Rattus norvegicus: one gene and its partners. The protein of the gene in region 1 interacts with the protein of each later gene in a biochemical or structural test. Links are inferred from orthologs where the notes say so. Each region holds a gene or a part of one and is shown in the gene's direction. Other genes may lie near its edges. The genes, in order: Grb2, Khdrbs1, Sos1, Pdgfrb, Met, Blnk and Dnm1.

The links.
Region 2: the proteins of Grb2 (region 1) and Khdrbs1 form a complex in vitro, tested with the Homo sapiens proteins (3 studies listed by BioGRID, with this or other methods). The link is inferred for Rattus norvegicus from reciprocal best matches to the Homo sapiens genes GRB2 and KHDRBS1.
Region 3: the proteins of Grb2 (region 1) and Sos1 form a complex in vitro, tested with the Homo sapiens proteins (15 studies listed by BioGRID and IntAct, with this or other methods). The link is inferred for Rattus norvegicus from reciprocal best matches to the Homo sapiens genes GRB2 and SOS1.
Region 4: the proteins of Grb2 (region 1) and Pdgfrb form a complex in vitro, tested with the Homo sapiens proteins (2 studies listed by BioGRID). The link is inferred for Rattus norvegicus from reciprocal best matches to the Homo sapiens genes GRB2 and PDGFRB.
Region 5: the proteins of Grb2 (region 1) and Met form a complex in vitro, tested with the Homo sapiens proteins (3 studies listed by BioGRID and IntAct, with this or other methods). The link is inferred for Rattus norvegicus from reciprocal best matches to the Homo sapiens genes GRB2 and MET.
Region 6: the proteins of Grb2 (region 1) and Blnk form a complex in vitro, tested with the Homo sapiens proteins (3 studies listed by BioGRID and IntAct, with this or other methods). The link is inferred for Rattus norvegicus from reciprocal best matches to the Homo sapiens genes GRB2 and BLNK.
Region 7: the proteins of Grb2 (region 1) and Dnm1 form a complex in vitro, tested with the Homo sapiens proteins (5 studies listed by BioGRID and IntAct, with this or other methods). The link is inferred for Rattus norvegicus from reciprocal best matches to the Homo sapiens genes GRB2 and DNM1.

Annotation. Positions count from the first base shown.
Region 1 is NC_086028.1:101,445,339-101,449,335, reverse strand, and holds the start of Grb2 (growth factor receptor-bound protein 2), read left to right. Parts: upstream 1-1,197; 5' UTR 1,198-1,258; intron 1,259-3,997. UniProt on the Homo sapiens protein: Non-enzymatic adapter protein that plays a pivotal role in precisely regulated signaling cascades from cell surface receptors to cellular responses, including signaling transduction and gene expression.
Region 2 is NC_086023.1:147,359,949-147,363,448, reverse strand, and holds part of Khdrbs1 (KH domain-containing, RNA-binding, signal transduction-associated protein 1), read left to right. Parts: intron 1-1,163; coding exon 1,164-1,288; intron 1,289-3,270; coding exon 3,271-3,387; intron 3,388-3,500. UniProt on the Homo sapiens protein: Recruited and tyrosine phosphorylated by several receptor systems, for example the T-cell, leptin and insulin receptors. Once phosphorylated, functions as an adapter protein in signal transduction cascades by binding to SH2 and SH3 domain-containing proteins.
Region 3 is NC_086024.1:20,327,617-20,331,116, forward strand, and holds part of Sos1 (son of sevenless homolog 1), read left to right. Parts: coding exon 1-93; intron 94-839; coding exon 840-1,495; intron 1,496-3,500.
Region 4 is NC_086036.1:56,797,848-56,801,347, forward strand, and holds part of Pdgfrb (platelet-derived growth factor receptor beta precursor), read left to right. Parts: intron 1-438; coding exon 439-571; intron 572-1,042; coding exon 1,043-1,147; intron 1,148-1,459; coding exon 1,460-1,570; intron 1,571-2,814; coding exon 2,815-2,974; intron 2,975-3,500. UniProt on the Homo sapiens protein: Tyrosine-protein kinase that acts as a cell-surface receptor for homodimeric PDGFB and PDGFD and for heterodimers formed by PDGFA and PDGFB, and plays an essential role in the regulation of embryonic development, cell proliferation, survival, differentiation, chemotaxis and migration.
Region 5 is NC_086022.1:46,822,823-46,826,322, forward strand, and holds part of Met (hepatocyte growth factor receptor), read left to right. Parts: intron 1-528; coding exon 529-689; intron 690-2,793; coding exon 2,794-2,896; intron 2,897-3,005; coding exon 3,006-3,142; intron 3,143-3,500. UniProt on the Homo sapiens protein: Receptor tyrosine kinase that transduces signals from the extracellular matrix into the cytoplasm by binding to hepatocyte growth factor/HGF ligand. Regulates many physiological processes including proliferation, scattering, morphogenesis and survival.
Region 6 is NC_086019.1:249,767,734-249,771,807, reverse strand, and holds the start of Blnk (B-cell linker protein), read left to right. Parts: upstream 1-1,274; 5' UTR 1,275-1,381; coding exon 1,382-1,428; intron 1,429-4,074. UniProt on the Homo sapiens protein: Functions as a central linker protein, downstream of the B-cell receptor (BCR), bridging the SYK kinase to a multitude of signaling pathways and regulating biological outcomes of B-cell function and development.
Region 7 is NC_086021.1:36,029,290-36,032,789, reverse strand, and holds part of Dnm1 (dynamin-1), read left to right. Parts: intron 1-126; coding exon 127-225; intron 226-329; coding exon 330-490; intron 491-1,902; coding exon 1,903-2,045; intron 2,046-2,159; coding exon 2,160-2,295; intron 2,296-2,422; coding exon 2,423-2,490; intron 2,491-3,467; coding exon of another isoform or gene 3,468-3,500. UniProt on the Homo sapiens protein: Catalyzes the hydrolysis of GTP and utilizes this energy to mediate vesicle scission and participates in many forms of endocytosis, such as clathrin-mediated endocytosis or synaptic vesicle endocytosis as well as rapid endocytosis (RE).

The DNA of each region.
Region 1 (3,997 bases):
TCTATGTACTTTGCATGGCACAGAACACGACTTTCTCACGCCTCCATCCATCCCTCTGTTCTTCTGTGCTATTCCGTTTGCCGGCTATGGGCTTACCCTGGCTCCTGTGCTGTGCAACTCCTACTCACCCTCAGCACTCGGCGGCACATCACCTTCTTTGTTAAGTCTTTTATGCAGTGGGCAGAGGAACAGAGCCAGCCTTTCTCCATCTTTTTGGCTTCCTCAGCATTCCCCCAAAGTACTATGTGTAAGTGTTATAGTTTGTGTGTGTGTGTGTGTGTGTGTGTGTGTGTGTCTGCACGAGGGTGTGTGCAGGTGAATGCCGGTGCCATCAGAGGCCAGAGGCACTAAATCTCCTGGAGCTGGGGTTACAGACAGTTGTGAACCATGGGATGTGGGTGCTGGGAACTGAAATCAGGTCCTCTGGAAGAGCAGCAAGCGTTTTTGTTTTGTTTTTTTGTTTTTTGTTTTGTTTTTGACCTCTGAGAGGTCTCTCCAGCCCAAGACATTACTTGTTTACTCTTCTGGTGCTTCTCTCGATTGATTGAATCGCTTAAGGGCCAGGATCTCTGCTCGTCGTTTCATCTTCTTTACCCAGCACAGTGTTTACCTACAGTAGGTATGTAGTTCACTCGGTGAACGGACTAATCAAACAGTTCATCAAACACTGCAGGTTGTACGAACCAGATTCCCAAACATTTCTAGATCTGGTCCTCTATTTGGGTCGAACCATCCTGAGATCTGCCGCCCCTCGACCCCTCCTCGAGGCCTCTTTGCTTTGCTTCGATAGAAAGAACGCTATTCGAGTGTGGAAAGCGCTATTCCGCTAGAGCAGAGCTGTAATTCACTTGCTCCGGCACGCAGAGGGTTACAACGGCCCAGGGGCGGAGCCGAGTCCCTGCCACCTGCTGCGGGGCGAGCTGACGCATGCGCGAAGTCCCCCTTAGGCTACCTGCCGGGCGGAGCGGAGGAGGAGCGCTTGCGCTCTGGGCCTTTTCCGCCGGGGAAAGTCTCGCGGGGGCGGGGCGCGGCGGGGCGGGGCCGCGTGGGGAAGTTCTCGCGGGACCCTGGCGAGGAGCGGAAGCTAGGCTGCTCTGCTGCTTCTGCGATCGGGCGGCGGCGGGGCGAGCCAAGCTGCGGCGGGGGACGGCGGTCTGGGCAGCGGGCGCCGCAGTCAGGGAGCAGCAGTGAGGTTGGCGGCCGCGGGCGGCAGCACAAGGCGGGCCAGGCCGGGTGAGGGAGCGGACGGCACGTCGCGGTGAGTGCAGGAGAGCGGGCGGGAAGTGAGCGGGGGCTCCGTCGTCCCCGCGCCGCGCCGGGCAGCTCGGGCCCGGTCTGCTCCGGGCTGCCGGGGCGGGCCGCTCGCGGGTCGGGGAAGGCTCGGACCGGAGCGCAGCGGCTGCGCAGCCGTCTCCTCGTTTCCCCTTTTGGGGCGCTTCCTTCCTGGTGTCGGTCTTCCTCCCGCTCGGGGCAGAGACCGGGCGAGCCGACGATTGAGGTCCGGTGTGGCGGCCGTCCGGCTGGGCGCAGAGGAGCCCGGAGCAGCCGAGAGGCACAGGGTGCTGCTCTGAGTCAGGCTGACTGAGCCCGGGAGGCGGGGGATTCGGTGCCGGCTGCTAACGTGGTGATTGATGCTCCTTTGACCTGCAAGGCAACCACGTCACCGTCTCTTGGCATCTTGCGGTCGAATTGTGTGCGGGAATCCACCATGACTTAGAATGATTGTTACCCGGACCCACCGACTGGTCTTTGCGAGAGTTGGGAGCTTCTTTTGTAGAAGTACTTGAGAAAAAAAAATACTTGTTGTGGGGGGAAAAACAGCAGCAGCTGATGGGAATGCTGGCAGGAAGGATTTTCGCGGAGAGAGCCCCGCTGGTTCATGTCCGTTTGCAACGCTCTAGGTTGTGTGGGTTTGTAAGAAAGTGATTTTTAGGGTGTCTTCAAAAGCTATATAGCAGTGCAGTTTGCCGGGAAGCCGAGGCGCGTTCAACGTCCGTCTTTTGATGGTGTTGACATTCAAAAAGAGGCTAGAGAAATTGGCTTTCTTTTGACTTCTTCGCCTCTCTTTCACTTTGCCCTGCAGTTTTTGTCCTTTCAGTCTCTATTCCACTCCACTAGGGACACGAAGTACATTTTTTTAAAAAATTTATTTATTCTATGTATATGAGTATACTGTAGTTTTCTTCAGACACACCAGATCCCATTACAGATGGTTGTGAGCCATCATGTGGTTGTCGGGATTTGAACTCAGGACTTCTGGAAGAGCAGTCAGTGCTCTTAACCGCTGAGGCATCTTTCCAGCCCCACGAAGTACATTTGTAACGCCAGTCATTGGCGCCTCCACCCCCTTTAGAAAATAATCTACTTCCCCTTCTTGTTCTTCCTCCGCTATAATTTTCGAAGTTTCTGCCGGTTTGAGCACTGTTAATTTTCTCAGTCGTTCTAAGATCCCCTTTTTGGGGGGGGTAGATACCTTCCCTTGTTTGCATTTCTTTTTTTTTTTTTTTTTTTTTTTTGGTTCTTTTTTTCGGAGCTGGGGACCGAACCCAGGGCCTTGCGCTTCCTAGGTAAGGGCTCTACCACTGAGCTAAATCCCCAGCCCCGTTTGCATTTCTTTTAGACTGTCCTCTGTATTCTTCAGCCAGCCAGAAGGGCTACTAAGGAGCCATCGGGGTGCTTGAGGGGGTTTAAGTTCTCCCCCTGGGAACTAGAAAACCCAAAGGACTGAATTCATTGCTAAGTAATCGATAGTGCCATCAGATCACAAGTGGATTTGCCTGTTCGCTTGTGCTATTTGTATTTTGGTGTTTTCTTCACAAGGTATCCTTTTGTGCCTACTATTTTCCTTCTTTCTCTCTCCTGTTTCTCTTCTCTGTTAGTAAGGAAGATTTTGAGCCAGTTTGGAAGCTGAAAGACTCCCCCCCTCCCTTTTTTTTTTTTCGGAGCTGGGGACCGAACCCAGGGCCTTGTGCTTGCTAGGCAAGCGCTCTACCACTGAGCTAAATCCCCAACCCCGAGGTCAACTATTGTTAAATGAGAAATCATCCGTGGAGTTTGTGAAGTAAGATAGCTTGAAATAGAAGAGAACTTTGGATATTTGTGAATTAAGTCCACCTTCCTCTCCTGACTAATGATATAGTCCTAACCAGGCTTTTTAAAATGATTTTTAATTTTGTATGTGCTTGAGTGAGTTTTGCCTGCATGTATGTATGGAAACCGTGTGCATGCCTGGTGCTGTCAGAGGCTAAAGGAGGACAAATACCTTGAACAGGAGTTACAGAGGGTTGTGAGCAGCCATATATATATGTGTGTTAGGAATTGAACCCAGGTCCTCTGGAAGAGGAGTCGGTGTTCTTTAACAGCCTGAGTTGCTATTCTCTCTAGTCCAATAGTTTTAAGCACTACTCACTGGTACTGAGGGTTTTTTCCATGATTTCTGTTATGTCGCATGTATACAGCAGCCCTTATGGAGAATTATGAATTAGGAGACAGCAAGACAGAGCTGCCACTCCCGGACAGGCATTTGGTGTCGTTACCTGCTGACCTCAGAGGCCTACACCTTTGGCCACGGTTATTGAGATTTATTCTTCTGTGTTTGTCAGAGTTGATTTTCCCGAGTTGTGCCAAGTCTAACATACATCATTTTCATTTTGTTCAGACGTAGTGCACTGAAATGCAAATTTTAAAATTTGCTTAGTGCTTCCTCATTTTAGCCTTGATTCTTAAAATTTGTATGTATAGACATAACCTGCCAATTAAGGAAGGGCTGGAGAGATGGCTCAGTGGTTAAGAGCACCGACTGCTCTTACAGAGGTCCTGAGTTCAATTCCCAGTAACCACATGGTGGCTCATGACCATCTGTAATGGGATCTAATGTCCTCCTCTGATGTGTCTGAGGACAGCTACAGTGTACTCATATATAATAAATAAATAAATAAATCTTAAAAAAGAAACCTGCCAATTAAAATTTTTTTATCCAAAAAAATTTTTTTGAGAC
Region 2 (3,500 bases), on another chromosome or scaffold:
TGTCCTCAGACACACCAGGAGAGGGCATCAGATCTCATTACAGATGGTTGTGAGCCACCATGTGGTTGCTTACAATCGAACTCAGGACCTCTGGAAGAGTAGTCGGTGCTTTAGCCATTGAGCCATCTCTCCAGCCCAAATGTGTTTCCCAGGCTGGCCTCCAACTCGTGATCCTCCTGCCTCTGCCTCCTTCAGCACCACAACTGGCAGTACCTTATTTCTTAAGAGAGAGTCTTAAGAGGTTGGGGATTTAGCTCAGTGGTAGAGCGCTTGCTCCCCAGCTCCGGGGGCGGGGGGGGGGGGGGGGGAAGAGTTCAAGAGAGAGTCTTTCTCTCAACCTGGAGCTCACTGATTTAGACTGCTGGTCAGCAAGCCCAAGGATCCCCCCTGCCTCTACAACTGCAGAGTTGTGATCAATTAGTTGGAAATAGCTACTGTACCCAGCTCAGCCTTTATAAATAAATTTTTTTTTTGTTTTGTTTTAGTTTCAATTTTTGTGCTTGCCCATGCCCATAGAGTCCAGAAGACTGTTTTGGATCCTGGAGCAGCCATAGTGGAGGTTGAAAGTCACTCTGCCATGAGTACTGAACTGATCTCAAGATTTCTGGAAGAGCAGTGTGGCTTCCTAATGTCTGAGGCATCTCTTAGTCCTCTTTGTATTTTTTTTTCTTGTTAAAGATTTTGATTTATCCTAATTTTTAAAAATTTTTCCTACTTTACTGCATTAATTTATATAAATGCATACATATATACTTTTTTTTTAAATTTTGTTTTGTTTTTTCTCCTGTCGACAGGGTTTCTCTGTAGCCCTGGATGTCCTAAAACCTGCTCTGTAAACCAGGTTGGCCGGGAGATTTGCCTGCCTTTGCTTCCTAAGTTCTGGGAACAAAGGTGTGCACCACCAATGCTTGGCCAGTACATGTTCTCGTAAGGCAAGAAACATGTAAACGAGTGGTGTAGACACTTCTGGTGAGAGTGGGAAACAGGATTCAGGTCCCATAGTGAACTTCCTACAGCTTTGGGAGCCTCATCCAGTCTATCTAAAATTAGCACATTTTGTCTGAACTGTTTGGTTTTTCCACAGCACTTCACAATAATGCTTTAAGCAGTCTTGCCAGATGACTTTATAAGTACAGAAATTAAGTTCTGTTTCTCTTATTCAGAAATTGAGAAGATTCAGAAGGGAGAGTCAAAAAAAGATGACGAGGAGAATTATTTGGACTTATTTTCTCATAAGAACATGAAGCTGAAAGAGCGGGTACTGATCCCTGTCAAGCAGTATCCAAAGGTAATGGGAAGGGGGCTCACTTCTGAGTTGATGTTGTAGGCTGATATGCTGTTGGCTGTGATGGGATGGGATGGCCATGCATCCACCTGTAAAGCTTCCTGGTGCTTGAGGTACCTGTTTCTGGGAGTTCAAATAGCAAAGTCCATAACTTATAACGTAATTATAGTGAAGGGAATAGATACTTTAGTAATCAAGAATAATTTTTTTTCTTATGTTTTGTTCAGGCTCTAGGCCTCAAGTAAAAATCTGGATCCCTTTATCAAAAGATTGAGCTAGAATTTATCTTATGTATAAGTGCCTGCATGTGTATTGTATGTGCACCATGTACATGCCTTGTGCTAAAGGAAGCCAGAAGAGTATATTAGATGTCCCTGGAACTAGGGTTACAGGTGGTTGTGAGTTGCTCTGTGGGTGCTGGGAACAGAATCCAAATCTTTTGAAAAAGCAACAGATAATAGCCATGAGCCATTTTTCTGCCTGTGACTCAGAATTTAAATCAAATAAAATATAACATATCCTCAAATCAAATGAAGTTAATTTTATTTTTATTTAATGCATATGAATAGTTTGCATGTATGTCCATGTAACATGTGTGATTAGTTTCTGAGGAAGGCAGAAGAGGGTATGGGATGCATTGGAATTGGAAGCACAGATGGTTATAAACTACCATGTAGTTGCCAAGAGCCTAACCTGGTTCTTCTTGTAGAGCAGCAAGTGTTCTTAACCCCTGAGCCATCTCCAGTCTCCTAAGAACTAGCTTTTTTTAAAGATTTATTTATTTATTATATATAAGTACACTGTAGCTGTCTTCAGATACACCAGAAGAGGGCATCGGATCTCTTTACAGATGGTTGTGAGCCATCATGTGGTTGCTGGGAATTGAACTCATGACCTCTGAAAGAGCAGTTGGGTGCTCTTAACCGCTGAGCCATCTCTCCAGCCCCCAAGAACTAGCTTTTTTAAAGAAGCGGCTGCTGCCAGACAATGGTGGCACAAGGCAGGCAGAACTCTGTTCAAGGCCAATCTGGTCTACAGAATGAGTTCCAGGACAGCCTCTGGTACACAGAGAAACTCTGCCTTCAAAAACCAAACCAAAAAAAAAACCAAAAAACCCAAGTAAAAAAGTAGATTCTTTTGGTTTTGAAAAATGGCTCGGGGTTGGGGATTTAGCTCAGTGGTAGAGCGCTTGCCTAGGAAGCGCAAGGCCCTGGGTTCGGTCCCCAACTCCGAAAAAAAGAACCACCAAAAAAAAAAAAAAAAAAAAATGGCTCAATGGGTAAAAGTTCTTGTCACCACACCTGAAGACCTAAATTTGATTTCCAGAACCCATATGGTAGGAAAGAACCAACATCCTGACCACCTGTGTGGCTTACCTGATTGGTGCTCCATTCTGGTGCACTCCACACCCTCTTGTAAATAAATGTAAATTTTTTTTTTTCTTTTTCTTTTTTTTTTTTTTCGGAGCTGGGGACAGAACCCAGGGCCTTGCGCTTGCTAGGCAAGCGCTCTACCACTGAGCTAAATCCCCAACCCCATAAATGTAAATTTTTTAAAAATGTTTATCTTCTTTCTTTTTAAAGGAAAGTAGCTAGATTTTAGTTTACCATACATGCTACCATGAGGTAGGTATATTTGTTCTGCTGAATCAGAAGTAGGAAGCCTGAGTATGATCACTAATAAAAAGAGTTTATGCATGTTATATGTTTATGTAACAGTATTAATAGTTGCAGTAAGTTGTGGAAAGAGTACAAGACTTTATCAGGAAATCTAAACTCAGGGATAGGAACTATCACTTCTAGTTATATAATTAAAGCTAATCACTAATTATTAAATACTAGGTATACTATATCTTGAGTAAAATTGGGATCTCATACATAAAAAGATTCTTTATAGGGTTGTTGAAGATCAAATGGCATGTTACATATATTTACATTTTTATAGAGGCATGTGTATTAGAATTCTATTTTTTAATTTTCTGACAGTTCAATTTTGTGGGGAAGATTCTTGGACCACAAGGAAATACAATCAAAAGACTCCAGGAAGAGACTGGTGCAAAGATCTCTGTCTTGGGGAAGGGTTCGATGAGAGACAAAGCCAAGGTACGTTCAAATGAATGCCTTCTAGTTGTCCAGTGCCTGATACGGATGCTATGCAAGCAAACATTGGGAGGTTTATTTGGGAGCTGTTGAGATACAGTGTCCCACTGTGTATC
Region 3 (3,500 bases), on another chromosome or scaffold:
GGAGTGTATGAAACAAGCAATAACAGCCCTGCTTAATGTCCAAAGTGGCATGGAAAAAATTTGCTCCAAAAATCTTGCAAAACGAAGACTGAGGTAAATATTCCCATTTTAAAGTTTCTTCCTTTCTATCCTGAAAGTTGTGGTACAAATTCAGGGGCCTTAGCTTCCCTCCTTGAGTAAACAATAAAGAAAACGGTGTTAGTGACAAGCTTGGTCTCTCAGAGGAAGTGACATCAAAGCCAGGAGAATTTGTTATTGTTTGAAAAACCTTTCATATTTGTGCATTTTCCCTGCTTGCTCCCAGACAAGGCCTCCCGAGGAGCGGCTGGTAAGCTGAAGGGGACAGAGCAGTGTCCCGGGCAGATCTGCCGGCGTCATTGTTATGTCAGAGGCAGGTTCGTAGGCTTGGTTAGTTTGGGGATTGTATAACTCAGACATTGATGCAGGTAGCAGATCTGCTTTCCCCTTGTAACATGTGCTTCTATCTCTGGGTCTTGTGCATTTAAAAACACTTACAATTTGCTTTCATATCTCATTTTTTTTTTACTGTGTTGGGCTACTTTTTTATAGTTATCTTTCTAAGTGTTTAATATTCAAGGCAGAGATAATTGTTTTGTACCTGACTTTATATAGTTCAACATCACTATTCTTTTTATAACTCTGAAAAATTCTGTGCTGTTTTAGCTTTTATAGGTGCGTAATTACATGTATTATTTGGGGAATTAGTAAACACATGTCAGTGATGTTCTAAGTTGTCTTTTACCCTGCCACCTTATCTGCATGAACTCTATATAAAGTCTGTCTTCTGTGTACTAATAGCATCTTTTCCTTTACCCCAGTGAGTCTGCATGTCGGTTTTACAGCCAGCAAATGAAGGGGAAACAACTGGCCATCAAGAAGATGAATGAGATTCAGAAGAACATTGATGGTTGGGAGGGGAAAGACATTGGACAATGCTGCAATGAGTTTATAATGGAAGGAACTCTTACACGTGTAGGAGCCAAACACGAGAGACACATATTTCTCTTCGATGGCTTAATGATTTGCTGTAAATCAAATCATGGGCAGCCAAGACTTCCTGGTGCTAGCAATGCAGAATATCGGCTTAAAGAAAAGTTTTTTATGCGAAAGGTACAGATTAACGATAAGGATGACACCAGTGAATACAAGCACGCTTTCGAAATAATTCTGAAGGATGGAAATAGTGTTATATTTTCTGCCAAGTCAGCTGAAGAGAAGAATAACTGGATGGCAGCCCTGATATCCCTGCAGTACCGCAGCACGCTGGAGAGAATGCTGGACGTTACAATGCTGCAGGAGGAGAAGGAGGAGCACATGAGGCTGCCGAGTGCTGACGTGTACAGGTTTGCAGAGCCCGACTCTGAGGAGAACATTCTGTTTGAAGAGAACGTGCAGCCCAAGGCTGGCATCCCCATCATCAAGGCAGGGACAGTGGTTAAGCTGATTGAGAGGCTCACGTACCACATGTACGCAGGTGAGACTCGGGGGAGGCTGCTTCCTGACTGACTGACTCCACGGGTGGGTCACTGTGCCTGAGGTAGAAAACTAACAGCAAGCAAATCCTTCTCACGTAGAGGAGTCGGCTAAACCTTCACTCTGTTCTCTTTGAAGCTTTTACCTTTTCTATCATATTTACAAAAGAGAAATGGTCACTTGTCTGGTGTTGCCCAGTAAAAAGCAGTAGAAAGAAAACTAAGCATCAATGTGATTGTCTAAAGGTTTCCACCCCTGTATTTTCTTTTCTTATTTTATAACTGGGCTACAGACTAAAACATCAAATATTTACCCATCATCAAAATTGTGCTGGTGGCAGAAACACGTATTTCTTACTCTCCATCCCTCCATCCTTTGGGGAGGCCTGGAGGCCATTCACATTGTCAGTATTTTGTTCTTAATGTTACTGATGCAAACGGTTACCTTAACAGGTTTTAGAGAAAACCTAGAAGGATGCTAGGTAGAATTAAATACAGTGGTTGAGAGGTAAAGGGCATACTACGCCATCTTACATGGTCTGACACATAGTGGGGAGTTTGATAACTGTCATCTCAGAATTGGGGTGGAGCAGATAGCACTGAGCTCACACTTTGCTCTGTCACCTATCAGGCTCCCGTTACATCCCAGAACCATAGTCTTCTTCTCAAACATTAACATCAAATGTATACCACAGTGTGTTGTCAGAAAGCACACACGAAACACTGGATGTGAAAGCTATTTCTGAGTTTAGATGGAAATTTTCAAACTCTTTTCTTTAAAAGAAATGTGTGTTTAAAATTATAATATGGTATTCTTAGATACTAGAATGTGAAATTTAACCTCTATCCCCATTCTTCTCATTTAAATACAGTCCTATTTTTAGGAAGTGTAAGTTTCTGCGGAAAATATTTATTTTCCCGCTTTTAAAATGTCCTCTAAGTGAGTTCTGTTTCCTTTGGAATCTATTCTGGTGCTAGTGAGATTGGCCTTTTAAAAACAGCCATTAGTTTTCCCACTTTGTAAACAGTGTCATTTAACAAGGCCTTCCCTTCAATAACAAGAGCTTCATATGGTTGGAATTACCAAAGGGAGAGCAGGTAAACTTGAGCACTATTTTTTATTAGTGATTTAAAACCACTTTTGAATGTAGCTGCCATTATCTACACATCTCTGGTCTATAAGCCAGAGTTTAGTTTTGTTTAGCTTTTGGACATCGACAGTGTTTTCCAAAGGTGAGTTGTGAGTTCTTACAGTGACTCACTCGGCCTCTCTGACTTACATTTTCAGTGGTCGCGCACAGGGGCTGGGGCACGTTGAGCAGTCTGCGAAGCCTCGTCTGGGGTTCTGGGTTACTATAAACTCTCACCCAGGGACTATAGTCAGGGTGTTTATTACTCAAGAATGAAGAAGTATTAAAATTTTTAAAAGAAAATGGAAGCTGCCCAGTAGTTACATAAAAGGTAAATAGATTACCTTTCTTGTTACATACAAAGCTGTTTAAAGAGCTACAGTCTTTAGTAACTATGAACTAGCTATCCACACAACCATCAGCCTTCCCTACACTGTTTAAAATCAGAACACATAACAGTACTTTGCTATGGTTTTCAAGTAATTTCTCAACAATAAAAGGTCAGGTTGTCTATCCTGCTACGTTGCCTTTGTTTGTAAATCCTTGTGAATTTAAAACCTGTTTGCTTTATCCTCATATGGTTTGCTTAATTTTTATGAAAAGAACAAAGGAAAAATCATACAAGTTCAATTAAAAGAAATGAGCCTGTGGATTGACAGCAGCCCTGCAGTTGCAGGGACTGACTTGGCCCTGAGTAACCTTAGAGTGTTTAGAGTAACTCATCCTATGAATTTTACCTCAGTGCAGCAAGGTGTTCTTTTTTCTATTAAAAATTAAATTTATTAATTACTTATATATTGTAAAATTTACAATTTGCTTCTAAAACATTTCTGTAATTTTTAAGCTACTGTATTTGACAGAAATAATTCATAATTAG
Region 4 (3,500 bases), on another chromosome or scaffold:
CTAAGATTTCCACATCCAAAGGCTGTGTCCTTTTGAGACCCCACAGAGACAGAGTAGGCATTTGGAATCTGTCCTATCATATGTCGCTTTCTGGGTAACCTGCTCTTTCCGTCTGAGGAGTAACTGGGGCTCAGAGAGAAACTAGTAAAGCAGCTCTAGTGAGTGTGGGCCATGCTGCCAGTTGCTGTCTAGAGGCTGCGTCCTCAGGGTTTCTCAGCCATACTTTCTGCCCCTGAGTCCCCTTAGTGAGTTGCCTCTGAGCTCACGGAGGCCTTGGTTTTGCTAGCCATCCGTTGTGTCATTTTCAAATACGTCCCTGCCCTCTCTTGGTCTCAGAGTCTCCTGTCTCATTTGCCACCTAAGGGGCTGGACCTGATAGGCTCAAGGCCAAAGATGCCCTCTGGCTGTCTCCTCTGTTATTGGTCTTGTTTCCTACAGAAACCACGCTATGAGATCCGATGGAAGGTCATTGAGTCTGTGAGCTCTGACGGCCATGAGTACATCTATGTGGATCCTGTGCAGTTGCCTTACGACTCCACCTGGGAGCTGCCACGGGACCAGCTTGTTCTGGGTCAGTTCTAAGAGGCGTTAAGTGGCAATGGGGACACTAGGACCTTCTCCCAGTGTGGCTGCTACTAGCTGAGACATAGAGCTGATATCTTGCCTTCTCTGGGTTTTAGTATCCTTTCTCTGTGGTGAAGATAAGGTGACCCCATAGCACTGAAGCCCTGGAACCCCAAGGTTAATATGGGACTCCTCCAGGCCAAAGAGGAAGTATTGGATGTAGGCCGGGGGGTCTGAGGCAGTTACAGAGGAGCTGGGCTTGCCCAAGGAGGCAGGAGGTCTTTCAGGGACTCCAGGGGAGACAGATAGCATTCAGGATCTAGAGGAGACCCAGAGGATGGGAAACCTCCTGAGGGGGAGCACAGTAGAGTGGTTGGACAGATGTGGAAGGTGACCTAAGAGAATATTCCCCAACCTAAACAGAAAGATGGGATGAGGGATCCAGCTCCCAGGAGCTGAGGGGTTCTATCCATCCTAGGACGCACTCTTGGCTCTGGGGCTTTCGGACAGGTGGTGGAGGCCACGGCTCATGGTCTGAGCCACTCACAGGCCACCATGAAAGTGGCTGTCAAGATGCTGAAATGTGAGTCTCGAAATGTGAGGTAACCCACCCCTTCTTCACACCCAGGATCTCACTTGGTCCTACCCTTCCTTGTCCTTTTAGTTTCTTCTGAAGGAGCCTGGTCCTGAGGTTGTGGGACAGAAGGGCTCCTCACTGTGACCTTTTTGGGTGCTTCCTCCTTCTCTCCCCTCCTCCCACCTTCTTCCCTCTCCTATGTCCACCCTAGGACACTAGTGGTACAACAGGGTGGGGCAGAGGAAGCAGAGTAGGCCCTGGCAGGGCCTCTACACTGCCTCAGTGGCCCACCCAGGCTGAGTCCCTCTTCCCCCTCAGCTACAGCCAGAAGCAGTGAGAAGCAAGCCCTCATGTCGGAGCTGAAGATCATGAGTCATCTCGGACCCCACCTGAACGTGGTCAACCTGCTGGGGGCCTGTACCAAAGGAGGTACTGAACCCATGCCCCGGAGGATTCTGGGGCTCCTCTCTTTCCTGTTATCCCTCAGTCCATCAACAACAGAACACCCCCAACAGAGTGTCCACATACTGCCGCCCAGGGCTCTTATTTCACTGTCCTGGATGGGCTCAGTTTTAGAATCTCCGACTCACAATACCTTCACAGTGAAGAGATCCCTCAGGCTACTAGTTCCTGCAGTTTTAGAATTCAAGTCTTTTCAGATTTTTTTTTCAGGTTCTTAGATTTTATGTGAATGGGTTTGTTGTTTTGTTTTGTTTTTGTTTTGTCTGTATGTCAGTGTGTGTGTGTGTGTGTGTGTGTGTGTGTGTGTGTGTGTGTGTGTGTGTGTGTGTCTGGTACCTGAGAAGGCCAGAAGAGGTCATCGGATCTCCTGAAACTGGAGTGACAGATGCTTGTGAGCCACTGTGTAAATGATGGGTGTTGAACCAAGGTGGTGTCATGAACAAGTGCTCTTAACAGCTGACCATCTCTCCAGTCCCCCTTTTCATATTTCTACAATACATTCTGAAAACTGCGAGAAAGTAACAACTTCTACAACACAGAGACAAGCAGAACCATGTACTAACCAGGAACTGGTTTTGCTCGCATCAGTGTTGGAAGTCACTCTGCCAACTGCGATTGTTTGAGGGCCTGGTTACCCACTGGGCTATCTACATAATAATAATCATGAAGTTATTGCCCTTTGCAGCTGCTTGTTGTGAGATCTGGGATTTTCCTCAGTATTGTGTAATCAGTCTAAATACAGAAGTACATCGTGCGCGGACTGCTGGCTGTGCCTGCAATGACTATATTTCAAAAGTGTTGTTTTCATCTGTTAGATGGCCGTAAGTGTGTTGAACTTAAGTGTATTCAGCACATTGTGCTAACCATCACGTTCCCCTGCTCTGTGTAGACCAGCATCTGAAGTGTGCACCAGTCTGAAAACAGCCACGGCAACTGGTATCATAGGCTTGCTACATGCTGAGCCCTCAAAGGCATCTCAGGGGTCAAGGGCGGGTGTCAGCCCCTGGCCAGATGGGCAAAGGAAGCACCCTGGAGATTAGCAGCTTGTTTGCACCCACAGAGGCAGGGAAGCAACCCAGGTCCGCAAGGTGCCAGCATCTCTGCCGTCTTGCTGTGTCTCCACACCACCAAGACTCCATATTGGCTTTGTGGCCATGCTGGGAAGACTGAGGCCTTCCTCAGAGTCTGTCCCTGAGCCTGTCCTTCTGCAGGGCCCATCTACATTATCACGGAATACTGCCGTTATGGTGACCTGGTGGACTACCTGCACCGAAACAAACACACCTTCCTGCAACGACACTCCAACAAGCATTGTCCACCCAGCACTGAGCTCTACAGCAACGCCCTGCCGGTGGGGCTCTCCCTACCCAGGTATGGGGGAGGCAGCACCCAGTGAGTGCCTGCCAAGCATATGGGAACTCCTTGTCCCAAGGTGCAAGTGTGGGCCCTGGGGCAGTCACTTCCCAGAGGCAGCACTCTGACCGGATAGTAATGATGGTCATGGGGGGTGGGGGGAGTGCCATTTCAGTGAGCCAGGCTCCATCCCAAGCCTTCTGTTCATGTGACTCCTGGAACCCATGGAGCATCCTTGTGTTCTAGGTGTCTTGTTCTCTTGCCTTAAGGACATAAGGGACAGAGAGCCAGGCTCCCTGCCGTAGTTCCTCTGCCTTCTACAAGCCAACCTCTCCAGTACCCTACCAGTAATCCAACTCTTTCTGATGACTTCAAAAGGGATACTTGTTTTTTTGTTTTGTTGTTTGTTGATTTAAAAGGCAAAGACAGGAGTAACTTTGGAAGGGTACACACAGAGAATGCGGGGACGCGCTCCTGACCTCTCTGACACTGCTCCATTCCCTTGCACAATGTGTTAGTTCCATTCCTCCCTGGGGGTTAAGGC
Region 5 (3,500 bases), on another chromosome or scaffold:
AGTTAGCCTGTTGATCACTGAACATTGCACATTGAGGAAAGACATCTTTACAATGGCATAAAATAATGTTGATAAGTAGAATTAGAAACATCACTACAATACTGATCTGAGGATCTCTCAGTTTAGATTTTTTTTTTTTGCCAGAAAGAGAGTGTTAATTTGTACTATTACAAAACTTCATGTAGGTTCTAGATCAAAGTTTCACCATATTTAAAGCAACTAAATTTTTTATTAAGAAATACAAACTGGTAGACATAAATTGCTTGATTCAGAGAGTCAGAAAGGTATTCAACAGAGGCCCTGAGTTTAGTTCCTAGAACCCGCGTTACATATGTAATGCCAGGATCAGGGGAACAAATGCACTCTTCCGGCTTCCATAGTCAGTGTGCTCACAGACGCAAAGCCACACACAGAAACACGTGTGTGTGACTTTTTCAGGATTAAAATAAATATTAAAAAGCAATACACCATTTGCTTGGTTTCCACGATGTGGAAAATGATCACAGTCTGCTGGGTTTATCGTTGCAGGTTTTCCCCACTAGTGCACCCCTCGAAGGAGGAACAATGCTGACCATATGTGGCTGGGACTTTGGATTCAAGAAGAATAATAAATTTGATTTAAGGAAAACCAAAGTTCTGCTTGGCAACGAGAGCTGTACCTTGACCTTAAGCGAGAGCACGACAAATACGTAAGGAGCATGGTGACTTTGCTGAGTGGCCTTGGGAGATAGGCCGGGTTCTTTAATTGGGTTTTCTGAGAAGAAGAAAAAAAAAATAGTGTTCAACATGTTCATCTATGCATTCACAAGGGTCTTGACCTGTCATAGCATTTGAAGACGTGTTTGGTTTTCTCCTCGTAATCTCATTTTATTAACAGACTAGGAGAAAGGAAAAGGTGGTATGGCCTAGAGCAATTCAGCTTCCATGAGTTGTTTTTAGACTTGTTCACTCGATTTAATCTTTATACAGAGTTGGAGTCTAATATTTGTGTTTATTACTGTAGTTTAGGGTGTTTGGCGAGTGTCTGTGGGTACAGTTGCACATGTAGCATTGTGTGTGGAGGCCAGAAGATGACTTCAGGAACTTGGTTACCTCCTTCCAGTGTAGGTCCCAGGGCTCAAACTCAGACCAGTAGGTTTGTGTGGTAATTGGTCTTCCATCCCGCTGGGCCAGCATCTAGGAGGTTTGAACTACTAAAGTAAAGCCTCTTCAGAAATTGCCCGTACAGTTTGAAAGACTGGGTCTTCCCCTTGAGACCTCAAACGTTGCCCCCCACAAAGGTTTCTCATGAACATCAGTAAACAGCTGGGTGTCTGTCCTCTGTTCATGATTCACCTGCTGGTCCTTGGAACAGTGGCAAGCACTTTTTAGACTCTTTAGATGAGCTTAAATGTATATTCAGGTCATATTCATGGCACTCTGCCATCTGGGTGTCCCCCACATCTTAGGAGGTGTCAGTTCCATTCTTGCCTAACGTTAAGAGAACTAGGGTACAGCCTACCTGAGCGAAGCCAGAGATCAGCGCTCTGTTCTCTGATCAAGACCTGTGCTTAGTCTCCTGTATTCTACACATTCCCTCTAAAATCCCTAAATGCCACAGTGACCAGGTAACCCAGGGATTACTTGTTGGAGTGCAGTAGCAACAACCAAAGTTTCAACAGTTGAATCATTATGGTTGAATCTGTTCTATAAAGTAAATTATCTAATATAGATTCCATTCCATGGTCATCATAAAGGACCTTAATATAATCACCAAAACCAGTCAATGTCAAGCTTGCTAGGCCAAAGGCAAAAGCGAGTTTACTCTAGAAGCATCCCTTTGTTCTCCAAAACTCTTAATTATTAGAATGTGAATTAAGAGCTATAAAGAAAAAGGACAATTCATTCTCTCTTTTTAGAAGTCTGTAAAAACAAATTATATTTAAATTTTATTATATAAATATATATTTATTATATATATAGCTATATAAGATTACGGATAAAAATTGGCACTATTGGTAGCCAAGGAGATGCCTCAGTTGCTAATGCGCTTGTCAATCAAGTATAAGGATCCAAGCTCAATACCCAGCACCCAAGTAAAAAGTTAAGTGTGGTGGTGCTCACTGTTGATAATCCAGCACTGGGGAAGCAGAGACAGGAAGACTCCTAGAGCTTTCTGGTCAGCCAGTCTAGCCTTATCAGGCATCTCCAGGTCCCAGAGAGAGAGCACATTGTAAAACCAAGTAGACAGCCCCTGAGAAGTGACACCCAAGGTTGGCCTCTGGCTTCTACATGCATTCTTGTGTCCCCAACATGGCACAACCATAATAATTTACAGAAAAACTGTCCCAGTAGCATTAGCCTTTAAGTGGTTTAAATAGATTTCTGACGACTACAGTCGTAGAAAATATAGTTGTTGGCATAAATTGGTGAAGAGAGCTGGCTTACTCTATTCGTAGCTGGCACATTACTTCACATGCTGCTGACATAGCAGCAGTCATTATGCTACATGGGCCAAACACCCAAACACATAACTTCACAGACTTAGGTTATCATGCACTTCTTAGCTGGTGAGTCTGCACTGGTGACCTATGAAGGGTCCTACAATGGTCGATATAAAGTTTGGCACCACCATTCAGAAAATAGGATTACATGACTTTTCAGCCTTATGACTTCCATGAAACCGAGCTTACCATTTGGAATCATGAGCTCACAATTTGGAGTTAATGGTCCCATCACGACAAGCAGCCAAACCAGAAAATCAGAAAATGCGTGTGGCTTTGAGACATATTAAGCTCTGCTCTTTCTTTGCAGGTTGAAATGCACAGTTGGCCCCGCGATGAGTGAGCACTTCAATGTGTCTGTGATCGTCTCAAACAGTCGAGAGACAACACAGTACAGTGCGTTTTCCTATGTGGTAAGTCCAAGCTTTGCTTTTAGTCATGACCCGGGATGTTTGGTTTTTTATTTCATCTGCATAAAGAATAGAGCTAACCAGTTCCTTTTTGGTTTTGCCACCCATTCAGGATCCTGTAATAACAAGTATTTCTCCAAGGTATGGTCCTCATGCCGGAGGCACCTTACTCACTTTGACTGGAAAATACCTCAACAGCGGCAATTCTAGACACATTTCAATCGGAGGGAAAACATGTACTTTAAAAAGGTATTGTCGCTTTTTGGTTGTATTAATATCTGTGCCTAATACGCCAAGCCAAGTTCTTTTGCATTTATTTGCACAGAGCATAAAGATGTTTTTATATGATTTTTCTCCTGGTGATTCTCTTCTTCCCAAGTCCAACTGGGTCCTTTTGCTGATTTTTCTATCCTTCCCCTTCTGTTGCTTAATCCCCACTCTGAGTTTTGTCTTGCTATCCACTCCTTCATTGTGGTGAGTCTTATCTGAGCTATATAACGAACTTAAAGCTCTGGTCATTGGCACTACATCAAAATAAGCATTTCTATCAAGATCCAGAGATGAAGAAGGTATGCTGAGGGACGGGATGGGTGAGCTTAGATTTAAA
Region 6 (4,074 bases), on another chromosome or scaffold:
TCAGCTCTCGGACGTCCTGAAGAATGGGAAATTCAGATATAGAGCAGGAATGAGAACAGTCAAGGATTCGGAAAGATAGAAGGACTTCTGTTTGAACAAAGAACCCAGGGGAGAAGAAATCCACTTTTGCTCTCCATCTCCTGTCCTCCCTTCTCTGCCTGGTCCGCCTTCCCACTTTCTCTTCAGCCAGGCCTTGTAGCTATAACATGAGAGATAACCAAAGTCCCTCTACTTTGTTCCCCCAACTCCCATGCATTCTTTAGACCCAGGTCAATGGTCCTTTGATAAAGTTTGGAACATAATCTCCTTTCACAAAGGTGACCAGGACATGCCAGGTGACAGGAGTTGGGGTGGGGGTGTTCGGGTAAAAAGGGGAGAAAGAACACCCCGCTCTCATTTTTTAAAAAAATTCTTAGCCCTAGACTGCTTTCTGCTCTTTAACTCAGCTAAATCAGAAGCTTGCAGAGTAGACAGAGGAATTGGGGGTTCTTGAGGAGGGCAGCAGAGCTGTCTGGATGGGGTCAGCGGCAGGTGTGGGATGCATGATGTTCGGTCTGATGAGAGGCCACAGACGCCGAGGGGAGTTAGGAGGTATCTTCCTGATGTCATGTGCTTGGAAATTGCTGGGTTTGCTCTCAGCTGACTTCTGAGTATATCTTGGCTTTATTTAAGAATGTCAAGCTTTTGACGAGGCAACTCCTGACTCCACATAGCGTAGGATGGAGTCACCTATCTCTACCCCTGAGTGACCTTGACCTCGCACAAAGAATTACCCATCACAGTTTAAATGACCACTGCTGTGACCTTGGCTCCAAGAGCTGTCCAATTCGTGTCTCTGTTATCTAAGAAGAAAAGGCTTCTTCACGGCTTTATGCAAATGAGCAGAAAGCCCCCAACAGTCATCCAGATATCATCGATTATTCAGCTTTTCCTGGTACCTGAGAAGTGGCAGGATGACTCTGGCCATCTGCTGAAAACAGGGACTACCTAAGGTTTGGGACAAACAGGAAGTCGTGCTCAGTCAACCAGAAGCTTATTCCAACCTGGCAACAAACCTGATCATAAAAGAGAGCTGCTGAAAAGGGATTTGCATGCCCAATAAGGTTTCACTACTGAAGTTTACACAACGCACAGTAATCATCCAGGCTGGCTGACTCGCTGGATCACATGACCTCGTAGAAACACGAAACTTGGCGATGTGCTCCAGCGAGTTTTACTTCCCCTGTGTAGGGGTGTTTGCCAGCAGCCTGCGGTTGCTCTCAGAAGTCAGTTCCAGTGGCATGAGCCCTTGAGGCCAGAGTCTTACCATGCTGCTCCCCAGGAAGCCCAGGAGCTGCTGACATCCCTCTGGACAGCGACTCCACAGCCCCTCTCAAGAAAAATGGACAAACTGAATAAAATAACTGTCCCTGCCAGTCAGAAGCTGAGGTAAGAGTTTCCCTTTGGATCTGTATTCCTCTTCTCTCCCCTTTAGTGCTCCTCCAAGGGCTCAGAGGTACCAAAACCATGGAATACTTGACCAGTTCCGAGGAATTGGTTGGCAGTGGCGATAGGGAAGTAGGTCAGGTTTTTAAAGAAATGTGTAGGAAGAGTGAAGGGACCTGCTTTGGCTGGGTTTTTGCCAGCGATAGGACAAAGGGTGAAGCTCTGGAAAGGCAAGAAGATAGAAAATTTGATGGCACACATGCTACCCACAGTCAGCTTTCTGGGTCTGAATAAGATGCTGCTGGGGGAAGGGCTTGTGCACTGCGTGAAGAGCATGTGTGGTCACTGTCAGTCACTGTCTCTTGTTTGTTTTGTGGATGTTCATCCTAAGTTTACTGGGGGAACCACAGGCCTTTCTAAAACCCTCATGACTATCTATTTTAAAAAGTGCTTAAGGGCCAGTCCACTAGCTCATTGGACAAAGTGCTGATCATGCGGGCCTGGTGACTTAAGGTCTATGCCCACAGCCCAGATAAAAATGGAAAGAGAGAAGCAACTCCACAAGGCTGGCCTTTGACTCCATACTCACTGCCTGGCACGCGCATTCCCTGACTGGTCATGCCCACACACATTTCACACATGCACATATACTAATGATAACAACAATCATTTTAAAGGCAGCGTTGGCAATTAAAATATACATATATGCTAACAAGAATAAGCCAGCAGTGGCCTAAGTCACAAGTCAAGAGACCATGCAAAGACGACTTCCCAATTTTTGAGTTTGGAGAACTTTGTCTTTTGGAGTGGTGCTGATGATGACTTTCTGAGGCCAGAACTCAAAATGTTTAAGGACGTGTTATATTCCGTGTGCAGACTGGAACTTTGGACTTTCATGAGGTCATACTTAGGAGCTGGAGAACTGGAGATTCTGAGACAAATGACAAGAAAAGAATATAGAGTTGGTAGAAGGACAGTCTTCCACAGCAGCATGTGGGTCTTCTCACTCTAAGGGGTTTGGTAAGAGGCAGACTGAGATGTACTAAGGGGTCCAGATCAGAGGGCAGCATCGGCTGGTCAGCCATTTTATAGAGCATGCCCAGGAGAGCCACAGAGTCCTTAACATGGAAGTCAGAAGGTCCCACAGGCACCCTACGTCTTTTGCTGGGCATCTCATGGAGGGGAGGGGTGGAGAGGAAACAGTGGAAATAATAAGTTGCAGAGAAGTTTTCATGAAGACGATGCTTTAAGAGTTAAGCTTTTGAGAGGCAGCTGAGAAAAAGCAGACGGAGAACTGGGGGGACAGGTTACACGCTGAGGAGGCTGCAAGCTCACATGCACAATCTGATGTAAGCGCAGTCTCAAATGTGCGCTAGCGAGGAAAGTTCTGCCCAGCAGAGGCCATGGAGTGGAACGTATAGGGTGAGAGGGCCCTGGGACATTGGTCCTGTCTGGTGGGGCCAGCTGAAAAGAATGAGGTGGGTGGTGTCTAACCATACAGAGTTGGGCAGTGTTTGTGCTGTTAGAGAGAGAACTGGCATGGTTAAACTGAAGGCACGAGTTCTGGGGGTGCTGGGAATGTTAGGATCCCAAGCGTCTAGAGTTAGGGGCACAGCAGTGAGGAGGGACATGCAGGGAGCGGTCAGATGTGGCAGAGAACTGACAAGGTCTCGTGCAGGGGCTGCTCTGAGCAGAGGTCCCAACGGTCCCTAACCTAAAGCCGCCCAGAGCCTCAGAAGGTGCTCCAGGGAACCTAGATGAGAGTCAAAACAAAGAGAGCAATAGAATTTTAATCACCTTAGGATCCCTCCCCCATGGGACAAAGTCCAGTCTAATCATGGAGTGGGTGGTGGGCATTATGTAATCATATTATAGGCTAGACGGCCAAAATTATATTGCAGATAATCACATGCTACGCCCATCTGCTGAGAGCAAAGCAACGTTTTCCTGCACTTGGTTACTGAGTTGTCTGCCCAGACTCAGCCCATTTTGATGAGATGTGCAGTCAGATTGCAAAGAAATGCGACTGTAAACGAAACAACTCAAAACACCACCCAAAATGTTTTCTGTAAATAGGTGACCTGGTGAGAAGTTAGCAGGGGGGCGGGGGAGGGTTGGGCAGCGTTTGTTCTGTTACAGAATGAACAGGACGGACTGCATAGGGGAAGCTGAAGGCACAGGTTCTGGGCGTGCAAGGAACTTAAGGATCCCAAGCATCTAGAGTTAAAGACACTGAAGTGAAAAGGGAGACTGTGTGCCCTCTCCTGACTGGTCAACAGCAGTTTAGAAGGTTGCCCAGAGAGTTACTTGGCTCCAGATTGCAATGTGGTGTTTGGAGTCTTTCAAACCCATCAAAGCCTATAGAGGAGTGTGATCAAAATGAAGCCAGGCAAACAGCAATGCTGTAATAAAGCCATACAGTGAGTATTCTAGTCACGAAAGGGGCTCAGTGGAATGACCCAGACCCAGGGGCTACATGTCCAGGTCTCGAGAGAGACTGGAAGCAGAGGGATGACCAGGAAGAGAAGCAGAGTGAACCAAGGAAGCAAACACAGGCAGGATTGTGTGTGTGTGTGTGTGTGTGTGTGTGTGTGTGTGTGTGTGTGTAGGAGATCCTCAGTGTGAGGATGGAAGTCTCCCAAGGCACCC
Region 7 (3,500 bases), on another chromosome or scaffold:
GTCTGCTTCGGATCACTGAAGAGGGGCAGCTGTGTGGGGAGGGAGTGGACAGGGGATGAGGGGGGCAGCGTGGAAGGTTTGAGATACATGAAGACCAGAGCCGCTGTGACAATCCTCACTTCGCAGGTCAGCGCACCATTGGGGTCATCACCAAGTTGGACCTGATGGACGAGGGCACAGATGCTCGGGATGTGCTGGAGAACAAGCTGCTCCCATTGCGCAGAGGTAGGCAAAGGGCAGGCTTTCCCCACACCTCCCTTCCTGAGGGGCCGGTTGACCCTTGACCTTGACCCTTGACCTTGACCCTTGACCTTGACCGTACCGCATAGGCTACATTGGCGTGGTGAACCGGAGCCAGAAGGACATAGATGGCAAGAAGGATATCACAGCCGCCTTGGCTGCCGAGCGCAAATTCTTCCTCTCCCACCCATCCTACCGCCACTTGGCTGACCGCATGGGCACACCCTACCTGCAGAAGGTCCTCAACCAGGTAGGGGGGCAGGCCAGGCCCGGGCCTGGGAAAACAAGAGTAACTTCAGATGCATCTTTTTCTGTTTGTGTTTTGGTTTTGTGAAGTTTTATTTTATTTTATACGTATGGCTGCTTTGTTTGCGTCCACTGCCCGAGAATGTCAGAAGACAGTGTTAGCTCCCCCTGGGACTGGAGTTACAGATGGTTTTCAGCTGTCGTGAGGGTGCTGGGAATCAAACCTGGATGCTCTTAACTGCAGAGCTCTCCAGCCCCGTTATCTCAGTTCATCTTAAGGATGACCAAGATAGATTAGCACCCAGTACAGAACCACCTAGATCCAGGGAAGGAAAGCCACTTGCCCCAGTTCCACGGGGAGGTAGTGACAGGGTTTGGCTGACCTTTCCTGTCTGGGATGTGGAGGGGAGCCTCAGGACTCGCAGCATGTATAGAAGACCAGGATTTTGTGTGGATGGCGGCACTGACTAGAGATTGCTGGAATATTCAGCTGGACATCCTGGTCCTTTTGTCAGGATCCAGAGAGGCTGATCCAGGAACCGCAAACATTCAAGAGGCTTCCCTGGGATGTTCTCCCTTTTGGAGTGTGTATAGGGGGCAGTCAAGACTACCATAGACCTGGGTTCCATTCTCTGCCCCATTCTCACCCTTTGCAACACTACTTTCTGAAAAAGAGGACAGTAGTGACCAGACCCTGCCCCTTAGTGTCCCCACGATGGCTCATGCAGATAGGGTATAGACAAACCTAGCAGACTTGAACACATGAACTTGAGACTTACCTTTAGATAATTGGAGCCCGGAGGAGTGCAAGGTGGGGTGTCCTTCAGCCTTCCATGCCTAAGTACATTTGTGTTCTGGTACCCAAAACATTCAATCACTCAATGCTAGGTAGCTTTAAGTATCGACGCAGATTCCTGGCTTCTGTCAGAAACCGAGCTATGGCATATTGATTCTGATAGCTCATCTCTGGGAGCACCTGCAGAGCTCCTGGCCTGCCTGCTGTCGCAGGGGTTCTCAATCTGTGGGTCACAACCCCTTTGGGGGCTGAATGACCCTTTCACAGGGGTTGCACATGAGACATCCTGCGTATCATGCATTTACATTGCTGTATCACGTGTTTACATTGCTGTTCACGACGGAAGCAAAATCACAATTGTGAGGTAGCAACAGAAATGATCTTATGGTTGGGGGAGGGGGGGTCACCACAGTAGGAGGAATTAATTGTATTCAAGAGTCGTAGCACCAGGAAGGTCGAGAACCACTGCTGGACAGCTGCTGGCCCAGTCCTCCTCAGCTCCGCGCCTCACCGCATCCACACAGCCTCCCGGCACCCCTCCTTCCCCATCCATGCCTAGGCCTGTGGACATTTAAGCTTGTGACCTTGGTTTTAACCTTTCCTTTCCTCACCACGCCCAGCAACTGACCAACCACATCCGGGACACGCTGCCGGGACTTCGGAACAAACTGCAGAGCCAGCTGCTGTCCATTGAGAAGGAGGTGGACGAGTACAAGAACTTCCGACCGGATGACCCAGCGCGCAAGACCAAGGCCCTGCTGCAGTAAGGCTCCTGGCCCCAGTCCCCGGGGCTGAACTACTCCAGCCCCCCCTCCCCCACTCCAGGGCCCAGGGCTCCCTCCTCTGCATCTTCAGGCCACGCCCTTCTCCCACACAGGATGGTCCAGCAGTTTGCAGTGGACTTCGAGAAGCGCATTGAGGGTTCTGGAGACCAGATCGACACTTATGAACTGTCAGGTGGAGCCCGCATTAACCGGATCTTCCACGAACGCTTCCCTTTTGAGCTGGTTAAGGTAGGTCCCTGCAGTCCCAGGCAGGAGAGTAGGCCCTGTCTCTCTCTAGAAGCAGGGCTCTAGGAGTAGTAGTGTCTCTCCTAGTAGCAGGGCTGACACTGACCAGCCTTCTGTCTGTTCACCGCAGATGGAGTTTGATGAGAAGGAACTGCGAAGGGAGATCAGCTACGCTATCAAGAACATTCATGGCATCAGGCATGTACTGGGACCAGGGTGGGGCCGGCACCCTGCTAGGCAAGGGGCACGGGGCCTGAAGGAGCCTCCGGCAGTAAAGACCTGAGTCCTGGTTTTCAAACCCCTTAACCCCACTTTCTGGCTCCTAGGTCAGCAGGCTGCAGCTAAGGGAGGTGGCTGGGAGGCTTGGGCTCTCAGTAGAGTGCAATCCACTGGTCACCTTGGCTGTCCTTGGGAGAGTGGCCTGGAGGCACAGGGTACAGGTGTCCAAGGAAGCACTCTACAGGGATGGGTGCAACAACTCTGTCCAGTGCCACCCAGGACACTGAGCAAAGGGTAGGATTACATAGCACCCAGATATCATTCTACATCACTTTATGAAGGGAGTTTTCAATTTGTTAGACTCTCCCAGGACCCCCCCCCCCATTTTACCCACTCTCCTCCTAAGCCACCCGTTGGTGCATAAAGGAGGCTGGGGGATACCGACTGCTCTTTGGACACCCACCCCCCTCCCTCAGGGACCCAGACTCTCACCTGACACCCCTGTGAACCAGGCAGGAGAGCCCCGTGCTCCTCCTTAGGTTCTGTGCTATGTCTTGGCATGAAATTTACAATGCGATAACTACGTTGGCCTAGTTGGAAGACCTCCCCTCCTACTCTTAAAAAGAAGAAAAGCTCAGTTCTCAGAATGGCTCTTAAGGAGGCCTCGGTTTGGTTTTCCAAAGAGTCTGAGGCTATAGAACCTTTCACAGCAACTCTTAAGAGGAAGCAAAAGGTACACGGGAGAGACTCAGAGTTGTCTAGCCCAAGGATCACTGATGGAAAACCTCTCAGTAGAACTTCCCAACCCACTGACAAGTTGGGGTCACTGAGGCTCAGAAAGGGTAGTGGGAGGACTCTTCCCCCCAGGCACAGGGGCTGGAGAGGGACCCTGGCCTGGCACTCCTGACAAGTGCCAGCCAGTGACACTGTGCCCTTCTCCTGCTCCGGGCGTTCAGAACGGGGCTGTTTACCCCAGACATGGCCTTTGA